2 linked regions of the Arabidopsis thaliana genome follow. The protein of the gene in region 1 binds, or shares a complex with, the protein of each later gene. Each region holds a gene or a part of one and is shown on either strand. Other genes may lie near its edges.

The links.
Region 2: CRK (region 1) and ARP2 share a complex: the UniProt entries of both Arabidopsis thaliana proteins name them as parts of the arp2/3 complex.

What each region holds. Positions count from the first base shown.
Region 1 is NC_003075.7:733,641-737,465, reverse strand, and holds CRK (ARP2/3 complex 16 kDa subunit (p16-Arc)), read right to left. Parts: upstream 1,814-3,825; 5' UTR 1,691-1,813; coding exon 1,602-1,690; intron 1,520-1,601; coding exon 1,447-1,519; intron 1,377-1,446; coding exon 1,276-1,376; intron 1,152-1,275; coding exon 1,016-1,151; 3' UTR 501-1,015; downstream 1-500. Other genes in the region: AT4G01703 (uncharacterized protein), read left to right, coding at 3,101-3,214. UniProt on the Arabidopsis thaliana protein: Functions as a component of the Arp2/3 complex which is involved in regulation of actin polymerization and together with an activating nucleation-promoting factor (NPF) mediates the formation of branched actin networks.
Region 2 is NC_003074.8:9,951,837-9,957,839, forward strand, and holds ARP2 (actin related protein 2), read right to left. Parts: upstream 4,147-6,003; 5' UTR 3,949-4,146; coding exon 3,907-3,948; intron 3,618-3,906; coding exon 3,507-3,617; intron 3,389-3,506; coding exon 3,254-3,388; intron 3,166-3,253; coding exon 3,094-3,165; intron 3,015-3,093; coding exon 2,936-3,014; intron 2,815-2,935; coding exon 2,765-2,814; intron 2,684-2,764; coding exon 2,580-2,683; intron 2,492-2,579; coding exon 2,423-2,491; intron 2,325-2,422; coding exon 2,261-2,324; intron 1,857-2,260; coding exon 1,788-1,856; intron 1,693-1,787; coding exon 1,609-1,692; intron 1,513-1,608; coding exon 1,454-1,512; intron 1,369-1,453; coding exon 1,302-1,368; intron 1,214-1,301; coding exon 1,130-1,213; intron 1,032-1,129; coding exon 951-1,031; 3' UTR 643-950; downstream 1-642. Other genes in the region: TCP20 (TEOSINTE BRANCHED 1, cycloidea, PCF (TCP)-domain family protein 20), read right to left, coding at 5,974-6,003. UniProt on the Arabidopsis thaliana protein: Functions as ATP-binding component of the Arp2/3 complex which is involved in regulation of actin polymerization and together with an activating nucleation-promoting factor (NPF) mediates the formation of branched actin networks.

The sequences.
Region 1 (3,825 bases):
TTTTATAAGGAAACGTTGATCAAGCTGATGCTTTGGCAAAAGCTGCTCTTGTTTCTTCTTGTACTAACGTTGATAAAAAAAAAAAAAAAAAAAAAAAAGATCTAAACTTTTATTTAACGCTATTTGACATTTGAATTCAACCTGGTTTATTACAATCCTATAAAATTTTAAAAATCTAAAGAGTAAAATTGTTTAAATCAATGACTAACTATGTGAACATTTACTCTTGTATGACGAGTGCATTTACATTGAAAGTTTAGAAATGAATTTAGTTTCAATGGGCTGAGTTCGATATTGGGCCTTCGAGTTATGAACATTCAGTGAATCAGGAATGGTTGTATTCAACTTGTGATTTGTAATTTTTTTCTCAAATCCTTTGTTATTGAAATTGGAATTTATATAAAATCACTCAAAAGAATCTATAATCTTCTGTTATTCATTCAAGAATTTATAAAACACATCTTAAATCCACTGTTATCTAAACTCAACAAAACAATTTCATTAAAAACATTTAACATTGATTCTGGGAGACTTAGGCAAAAAAATTTAGTTGAAAATAAGCATGAAAAAATCTCACCTGTAGGTGTTATTCTGAACGATTTGATTTAAAAAAAGATTCACAGAAAATCTCTGCGACATATTCTCATTGTCCTCCTCCCCTCGTCTTCCATGAAAAAAGCTTTCGGTCTCTGTTCTTCACCGGCAAAATCGAGAATGGATTTGGTCTGTAGAAGAATGCAAATTCCACCAAATCTTCTAAAAGATTCTGGTTTCAATACACCCCCCTAAAATTACTTAATCACAACTTGGTCTTCGTATTTATGATTCAGCTGATCCGGGAATTATGTTACACATGAGCTCTAGGAATGACTTGTGTTATCATTTATCAAGCAACTGTTTGGTAATGAAAATACAAGTCTAAAACTGATAAATGTGAGACATGGTTCCTCAAGGAGAATATGCACATTGGAAACATCAAGGCATCAAGTAATAATACATAAGAGGGAATGATGGATCAAACGGTGTTGATGGTATCAGTAAGACATCGGAGAATGCAACCGAGACCAGCTCTCTCAGTGAGTTTCTCGTGAATCTTCAGGCACTGATCGCAGGTGGGTCGGTCCCCAGTAGAAAGTCCTCTGTACAAGTACCTGAGAATTTTAAGCAAAAACATTCTATCAAAGAGCACAGACAGCCTGAGGATAGAGCTTTCCAATTCATACATATTACAAAACGCATTACAGCAAAAAAAAAAAAAACCAACTTTGCACTTACTTCATGAGAATGTCGTAATATTCGACATCAAGAGCATTGAGCATTCCGTCAATATCCTTAATGGCCATTAAAGCTCTGTGCACAACTATCCAATTAGCCGACTGCAGTTGAGTTTTTTTTGGCTCAGTAAATCAAAAAAAAAAAAAAAGATGGTTTCGGAAAGAGAGAGACCTTGCAACGTTCATCGCGAGTTTTCGGAGGCGAACCTTCAAGAGCCGTTTTCAAAGCTTCTACATGTTTGTACCTGCACACATTAAAACACCGATAAGGGATTAAACCAAAAACAAAAGAAGACTTTAGGGTTTAGCTCCAAGGTCTGATATTACTGTTTGAGTAGGCTTTCAATCTTCCTCGATTTGGTTTCGATCCTCGCGATTATTGCTTCTGCGTTATCAGCTTCAACGAATTCTGCCATTCTTCGATTCGATCTTTCTCTCCGATCAGAGATTTCCCCTCTTTCCCTTCTTTAATTGAAAAAATGAGAGAGAGAGAGGAAAACAACTCAATCGCCATTTGACCATTTCAAAAGGGAACTGAGTGCCGTTTGTCTTGGCCTTAAACGGCACGTAGTCTTAAATGCTTATGCTGCCACTGAATGATGGATGATGGAAGCTTCATTTTTTTTTTCATTTTTTGTCAATAGGATTTTCATCGATAGGATTCAAGTTGAAATACAAGAGCCGGCAAGTACAAACCACTTCCGGAGACATAAGCCGATGAGTACAAGAACACTCCCGAAGCCAAATACCAAACAAGGTAAACAAAGGGAACAAAATCCAAACAAACCAATTACACTATATTCATTGAAATTTCCTCGATCAGGTTCTAGAAATCCAAAAAAGACTTACAAATCCTAAGTCATAGAAAATTAAAACAAATCTGAGACTAAAAAAGACACACAAACGGGTTACAATACAAGAATCTCCTTTTCTTTCTTGGTATAACAATTTTTTTTTTATTATAAATCTCTCTTATAAATTTTTAATAGTAATATTTGTTGGACCGAATTTTTTATATTTATACTAATGAACTTTTCTTTACGATTTTGTTACCATTTTGGTATCATTTTTACGATTTTAATTTATTAACCTCCTTAATTAAAATCGCAACCTATTCTATTTTATTAACACAGGTCAAAATATATTTTTTTCTGCGCTCGACCCTAATATGTTAACAAAATGGTTGTTTCTGCCCAAATCTCATTATATTTGTATGGATAGACGAAGAGCATTTTGATAATACTCTTTTGGAATGTTTCTTTATCATTCTAATTAGGATCCTACATCGAAAGTATACTATAAATGGAGTAAACACACTCATGACTGCTAAGTGCTAACACTAGTATATATGGAACACAACCAATCCAATCATTACCCATTGGTTTTAAATTAGAATCTGATGAAACTTAACATTAACTTTCTCTAATCATTAATGATATTGGTAGTCTTATAACAAATATATTGCCAAGATTCGGTCTAAGACCACTTGATAGAACTATGTATAAAACTTCTTTTTTTTAACTGCCAAACCTATATAAAGTGGACGTGTAAACTAAAGCATGGTGATCACTTCACATCGCACCAATGTAGTGGATCTAAACGTCTCTTTGTGTAATCACGTGGTCGAATTAATGGTCAATCATTTAGCAATTAACCAAATTTGAAATAACATCCGAAAAAAGTCGGTTTAGTGGGAGGAGAAGTGAGAATGATGTTTCATGAATGCTCGTTAGGAACTCTTCGAAAGACGATAACCTCGGATGGATGTTTATGGTGTCGGCTTCTAGTGGTTAAACATAATTAGATCGTCTACTGAAAAGTTGGAGATGTGGTTGAGAAACTCGTACCCTACATATGGTTACTCGTCTGCTGGTTTAATCGTTGGGATTGATCGTGTACTAGTCTTTCTTAAAGGCCAAGAATTTTGTCGTCGTAGTTAATATATGTTGGCGTACGTTTTACTGTTTTTCTTGAGAAATAATTGGATCTTAAGCTTATTAAAAAAGTCGTCACGACTTGGTCCAACTCGTACATATCACAAGTTGCTCGGCGCTTTTCATGTTAGTTAGCCACCGACCTCGAACTTTGAAATTTTATATTTTTTAACTTCAAAAACAATTCTTTGATAGTTTTGTTTTCATTGCTAATATTTCTCTCAATTTTTTTTTATTGTTTTTATTTTTGTATAGAATAGTATTCAAAATGAAACTATAATTCAGTATGGAACACTTTCTGTTTTATTTAATATTTACTTCATAATGAATTATGTTTCAAATTTTCAAAGAATATATTTATATTTGAATTTGGTTAGTACCTTCCAAAGAAGCTTAATTCCCCACATTAAAATTCAACTTGGTCTTCATATTAACATTATTCAATTGAATTCAGACTGAAATGGTTCACTTTATCTGGTTTGAAATATATGTCATGCATTTTCCAAATCAAGAATGAATCTTCTTGAAAGAAAAAAAATGAGAAAAAAGAAGAAGGAGAGGAATGGGTCTCCTAACAATGAAAAAGAGAATAAACCCTTAAATAATTGCAACTATAT
Region 2 (6,003 bases), on another chromosome or scaffold:
TACGGAAAAAACAAGCGCGAAGAGGAAATTACAGAGAGAATCAATCAGAAGAAGGAGATTGTTGCGATGATGCTAACAATTAGCAGTGAAGGAGCCAACGAAAATCACGGTTAATAAAATGGCGCCGTTTTCCGATAATGTCTCCAAAACTCGCCGGAGAAGTTTGAGCAGTTTGGAAATAATCTTCGTCGTGGTTAGATTTGGATGAACCACCGGGTGATTTCTCTATAACTTTATGGGCCTATATCTCTTTATTGGGCCAACGCTCATAATGTTTTATATGTCGTTGAGGTAGTTTAACAGTCACCAACACCAACGTTTCTGACACGGTGTTGCCGTTATTGGGCCAAAGCCCATATTAAGACCTCAAAAAGTTTTTACAGTTTTTTATTTTGGGATTGTAAATCAGTTTTTTTTGTTTCTAGTTAATTTAAAAGTTTTCAAATCCTTTTTTACTCATGGCAGGTTAGGTAATCATTTTGTCTTTGATCTAGCTTGAAGCTGCTGTACTTAGACTAGCTGCAGAACATGCAGTAGAAGGAAGCTGGTTCCATCAATTCAGAGTTGTGGCAATCTTTTGGGTTTTAACAGAAAACAATAGGGATCTACCTTGTGTGGCAAGAAATAGGGTTCCTTTTCAAAATTACAAATAATCTTTCACTGTTTTGACTCTGTTTGCTTACTCAAGAATTAAGATATATGCATTTCGTCTCTTCTCGACCTTTTGGCTTTGGTTATTACACAATATATTAGTCTCAACATTATTAGTTAATACACGTTTTTCTGTATATCCCACCAATCACATGTCGAATTTTGGATCCCTAACTGCAACCAATTGTACTCAAACTTTGAAACCTAAAATACTGAATTCACAAACGGAATTAAATCATCCTGACGGTAGTAAAAAAAAGGGGTACAAGTACAAGTATGAGTTCTGCGTTTGAAAGTTATTAAGCTTGGCTCATTTTATTCAAACAATTAATTCCTTCTTCCATATAGTCCTCTCTATTGATCCAGAACTCTGGTGCGTCCTGCAACATCGAATCCAAATTCTCTTAACATCATAACACAGACTAAAATTTCATGCTTTCGTGTTAAAAGAGAGAATAGCATTGAACTTTTCTCTTACCTTCATGATTCCTGCAAGAACAGCACCTCCGAGGTATACCATGTGTTTCCTTCTCGGTGGATCTTCGATCCGCAATCTGAGTTTCTGATTGATAAGAAAAACGAAGATAAATGTTAAAAACTGAGCTAATGACTGACAGTGATCATGGCATTATCAGAATCATCTTTTTTACCTTCAAGCCATCTTTGTTTCCTTTTAGAACTGTGTCGAGATACCGATCCTGTATTTCTTTCTCAAGACTGAAACAAACAGAGAATAAAAGACAATGAAACATAAAACAATGGAACTTCTTGCTGGGTTATGATGAAGAAAAAATATACGAACCGGCTAGGTAATCCTGGGTACATGGTGCTACCTCCGCTTAAAACTATGTGTTGGTAGAGCTGTGAAAAAAGAGCAAAGGGTTTAAGACAGATAAATGATTAGTTTTGTTGGATCTTTCTTTTGAAATACCAAGCAAGCGTAAGAGTCACACGAACCATCATGCGGTTATCAATATCCATTTCTTGAATACATCGGAAAACCATGTCTGCCATTCCATCACCTTCAACATCAATGAGTTCCTGAAAAAATATTTGGTTGTGATCAGCCTCGAGATTCTTGGAGGGTTGAAACTATTCCAAAAGAGAAATTAGCAGAGGACGCGATGAAGGTTTACCGGAGTAAAAAGCGCTTCAGGTGCTTGGAATCTTTCAGTGCCTACTTTGATAACCCTCCCATCTGGAAGCTGATCACAGTTCAAAAACACAACGGGTTAGTACTCTGGAAAAAAAATAATTTGGTGATAATATCAGCTTTAGAGGCTGCAACTGGCACAAGTATGAAACTTTATCGACTATCGGATGAAAAATCCCAAACACAGCGCCCAAGAACAGAGAAACGATGTCATGAAAAGAAAAGATGATAATATCATTCTTTCATTACCAAAAAGAACAAAGGAATGATGGCACGAATCTTTAAAGTTCTCTACAGGCTCAAGTTCGCCAAGAATCTGCTATCTATTTAGTTCTGATCATGAGTTTGGATTCCTATTAGCTTAACGTACACTAGTTTCTGTTTCTTGCCTCTATTTGCCATCGAAACCTTGAAAATTCACACACCTGACAGGTTCATACCAGGAGAGAGACTTACAGTATAATTCTTAACAAGGATAGTTGTCTCAAGGCCAAGCTGAGATTCTCTCTTGTAATCATAACTGCAAAAAAAGACAAAACAAATTGTGTTTATTTCCTATTCTAGTAATGCATTACTACACAGATATTAGAGGAAAGCTGAGAAGAGGTCTTTGCATGCCTTATATAGCAGAGCTTCTCTTTAATTTCCCTAACCGTCTCAAAGTCAGCTGTTTTGTTCATCGCATATCTGTTGAACAAACAGTCTTTTAGTTTAGCTAATTTAAAACATCTCAACATCATTAAAATGAATGTGAGTCTATGAATCAGTTTCTCACCCTCGTCGAGATAGTAGATCAACGAGATATGCTGTTATGTGTCTGCCAGCAACATTCATTCTTTTAGTAAGATGAGGGAACGAGTAGCCGTCAACCACCGGAACCTAAGATGTGAGGCGAAGACGGTTAACTTCTCTATTATAAGCAATATATGATCTAAAAAATTACAGAGGTTTATAGCTTACCACATGAGTAACACCATCACCAGAATCAATAACCAAACCAGTTAGCAAACCTGAAACCAAGAGTTCAACACATGAAGAAAAATATCAGGGAAGCACACATAAATGCTATTTACAGGTGACTATCTAAACACACGAAAGAAAATCTAAACCTTCAATAGTCTCCATAAGCACCTTGAGCATAGAGAGTCAAAACGGCTTGGATTTGAATGAAAACGCCAGCGAAATTGTATTTCTCAAACATTGTCTCAATCTGTTTTATAACATAAAATAAATCACTGCTCCAACAACCATCAAAGCAACTCTTAACCAAAGACTTGATAATATCTTACCATTTTTTCACGATTCTTGGACGGATTAAGAGGTGGATCCGTGAGCAATATCTTACAGTCAGATGGATTGATCTGTTAATAACAAAAAGGGTTTAAGAGTAAGTCAAGACACATGGAACCGAGACAAAAATGGCAAGAAGAAGCAGGAGAAGAAACTTACTTTCAATTCGTTATAGAAAGCATGATCCCAAACATGTTCCATATCATCCCAATTCTGCACAATACCATTGTGGACAGGATAATTTATATCCAATTGATGCCGGAGCTCAGAGCAAGTCTCCCCAACAACTATATCCTAAAATGAAACAAAACCAAAACGTATATGAATCCGAATTACGCATATCAGCTCAGTCAAAACTCAAAAGGCTAACAATGATCTGGTTTTGCTTATTTAAAGTCACATATCTACAAACCTTGACTTGTTGCTCCATGAGTGATTCTTCATACCGAAGCAATGGCCTTCCCACGACACAGGGGAAAACAGACGTTGGGAAATTCTCTCCAGCAAATCCACATTTTACATACTGAAAAATTTAATAAGAGGCTCACAATTTGTTCCCATCACAAGAAACTCAAAACTTAAGCAACCCATTATGAGATTTCTCATGTATTAGTTTTGATTTCAATAGAAACACGATCTTACACTATGCTAAGACATGAAAGTTTTCAAATTTTGCAACTTTAAGACAACTAGATCCTAAACAAACTCAAAAGTGAGATTTTTAACGAAACCCAGATAGGAATGGAATGATTGATCAGATTCAACTAAAGTTCGGAGTCTGAAACAAGAGATATCAGAGAGAAGAAGCTTACACCGGTGCCGTTGTCGCAAACGACGACGTTTTTGTTGTCCATCTTCTCCGATTTCTATAGAGACTACAGATTTTTATCGAAGTACAAAAATTTCGATTTCTTCGATTCGATCTCTCAGGGAACAAAAGAAAAAACCTGTCTTTGAATCGAAGCGAAGAATCACTCTTCTCTACTTGTTTGGTCGCGATCGAGAAAACATATTTGCTCTTCGACAAACAAAAAGCAGCTGTTTCCTCGTTTCTTTATAAGAATGCGCGTCGTTTACTCTACGTGAAAACGTCACGTAGTGCAAACGGTCAATACATAGAAAAAATTATTAAATACGTTACCCCTTTTCTCGAATTATTGAGATGGAGTTAACTTGGTTGTGGGTATTGATGGGCTATCTCAGGCCCATATTAGGTCAAACAGATAATTCTGTTTACTTGTATAACAATCTTCTAGATGATCTAAACTAAGAATTAGTAAATGATCATCATGCAATCCCTTGATCAGAGATTTCAATCACTATTAGGGTTATGTTACGAGAAAGATGTTACTAGGGTTTTGGTACGAAGTTGGGATATCAATCTTCTTCTAGGTTTTTTTGTTGTCTCTATGTTGTCTCAATACTAAAATTTATTCTACATAACATGTTGTAAATTAAGTTCCTGTCACAACATGTTATGTATCAGTCACCAATATAGTAAAAATAAGATAAGACTTTTACAGTTTCACACACACAAGTCCAATGACTTGTTCGATGTAAAATCAGCTTTCATGTTTTCACTTTTATATAGGTTAATTAGGACACACACTGTCTCTCATGCTTACTGGAACATTGCTAAGCTGCTTTATTTAGTTCTGGTAAGAACAAAACTGCATGTCTTAGACCTCAAAGTAACCACGCGTTTCATCTTCACTTCTGTATATTGAAATGGAAGAATTCGTAGACAAGTCAAGCTCCTTGCCCAATGTGTCGAAGAGAATGGAAATTAAAAGAGTAAGCAACTTAAGTCACGCTCTCATCATGAGGGAGGCTTTGGAATGGATCTATTGGAGTTGTATTTGGACCATAGTGTTGAGTTAGATCATTGCTCAAAAGGGAAAGAGAGAGCTTTGTGAATGTTTTTGAATTTTCTTCACTTGTTTTGATTGGTTGGACAAATCATAGAGATCAAGCAACTTTTTGACTCGTTAACCTCTCTCTCTCTCTCTCTCTTAGTCTCTTTCCTTAGTTCCGTCAAATTCAAGTCAAAATGAGTAAAATGATATAAACTTTTTGACTCGTTGAACAATTTATACTTATCTTTGAAAAAGCTTGCAAGGCAAAGAGTAAATGCAATACCAGCTTATTTGGTTCCCAACTGCGAAGGGTTTGTACCTAGTTCAAAACCTTCCCACAGTTAACGGCACACTCAGGGCAATAACATGAATGTAAGTAAGAGTTAAAGAATACAACGTTACCATCATTGTGAAATCCATTGCAGCTCAAAGCCACTGAATCAGAACATGCAGCGAAGTGTTTTACACTCGACTCTAAACGAAAGTCTTTAACTCATTCAGAGAGATCGAACGAAAGAGAACAATCTTTGGAGATGCAATAGAAGAATACTGAGCAAAAGAGAGCTATAAATCTTCATTCTACAAATATGTGATGGAAGACAAGTATACATTACCATTGTTGTACTATCTGAAAAAAGCCGGTTTCTTGATATTCAAAAGCAACAAAACTCAGAACAAGTAAAAACAAGCCTCTCTGCAACTTAAAGACTCCAAACAAAAAAATCTCTGGCTGTGTGTATTCAACAAACTCCACCTGCAAGTTCAAACAACAACTGCCAAAAAATTGTCACAAACACTCGGAAAAAAAGGTTTGAAGATTCCACTCTCTTGTATCATCATCCTCAAATTGAACTCACCTTGTGTTTTTGCAGAGGTTTCAATAAGTATAGATTATCACTCTCACTCAGTATATAACCTTTTCTTTTTCTTCTCCATGGTGGTACAAATTACAACAATATTATCACAAAACAAAAGCCAAAAGCTTTTTCAAATCCAGAAGATACAAAAAAAAACCCAATCCTTTTAACGACCTGAGCCTTGAGAATCATCTTT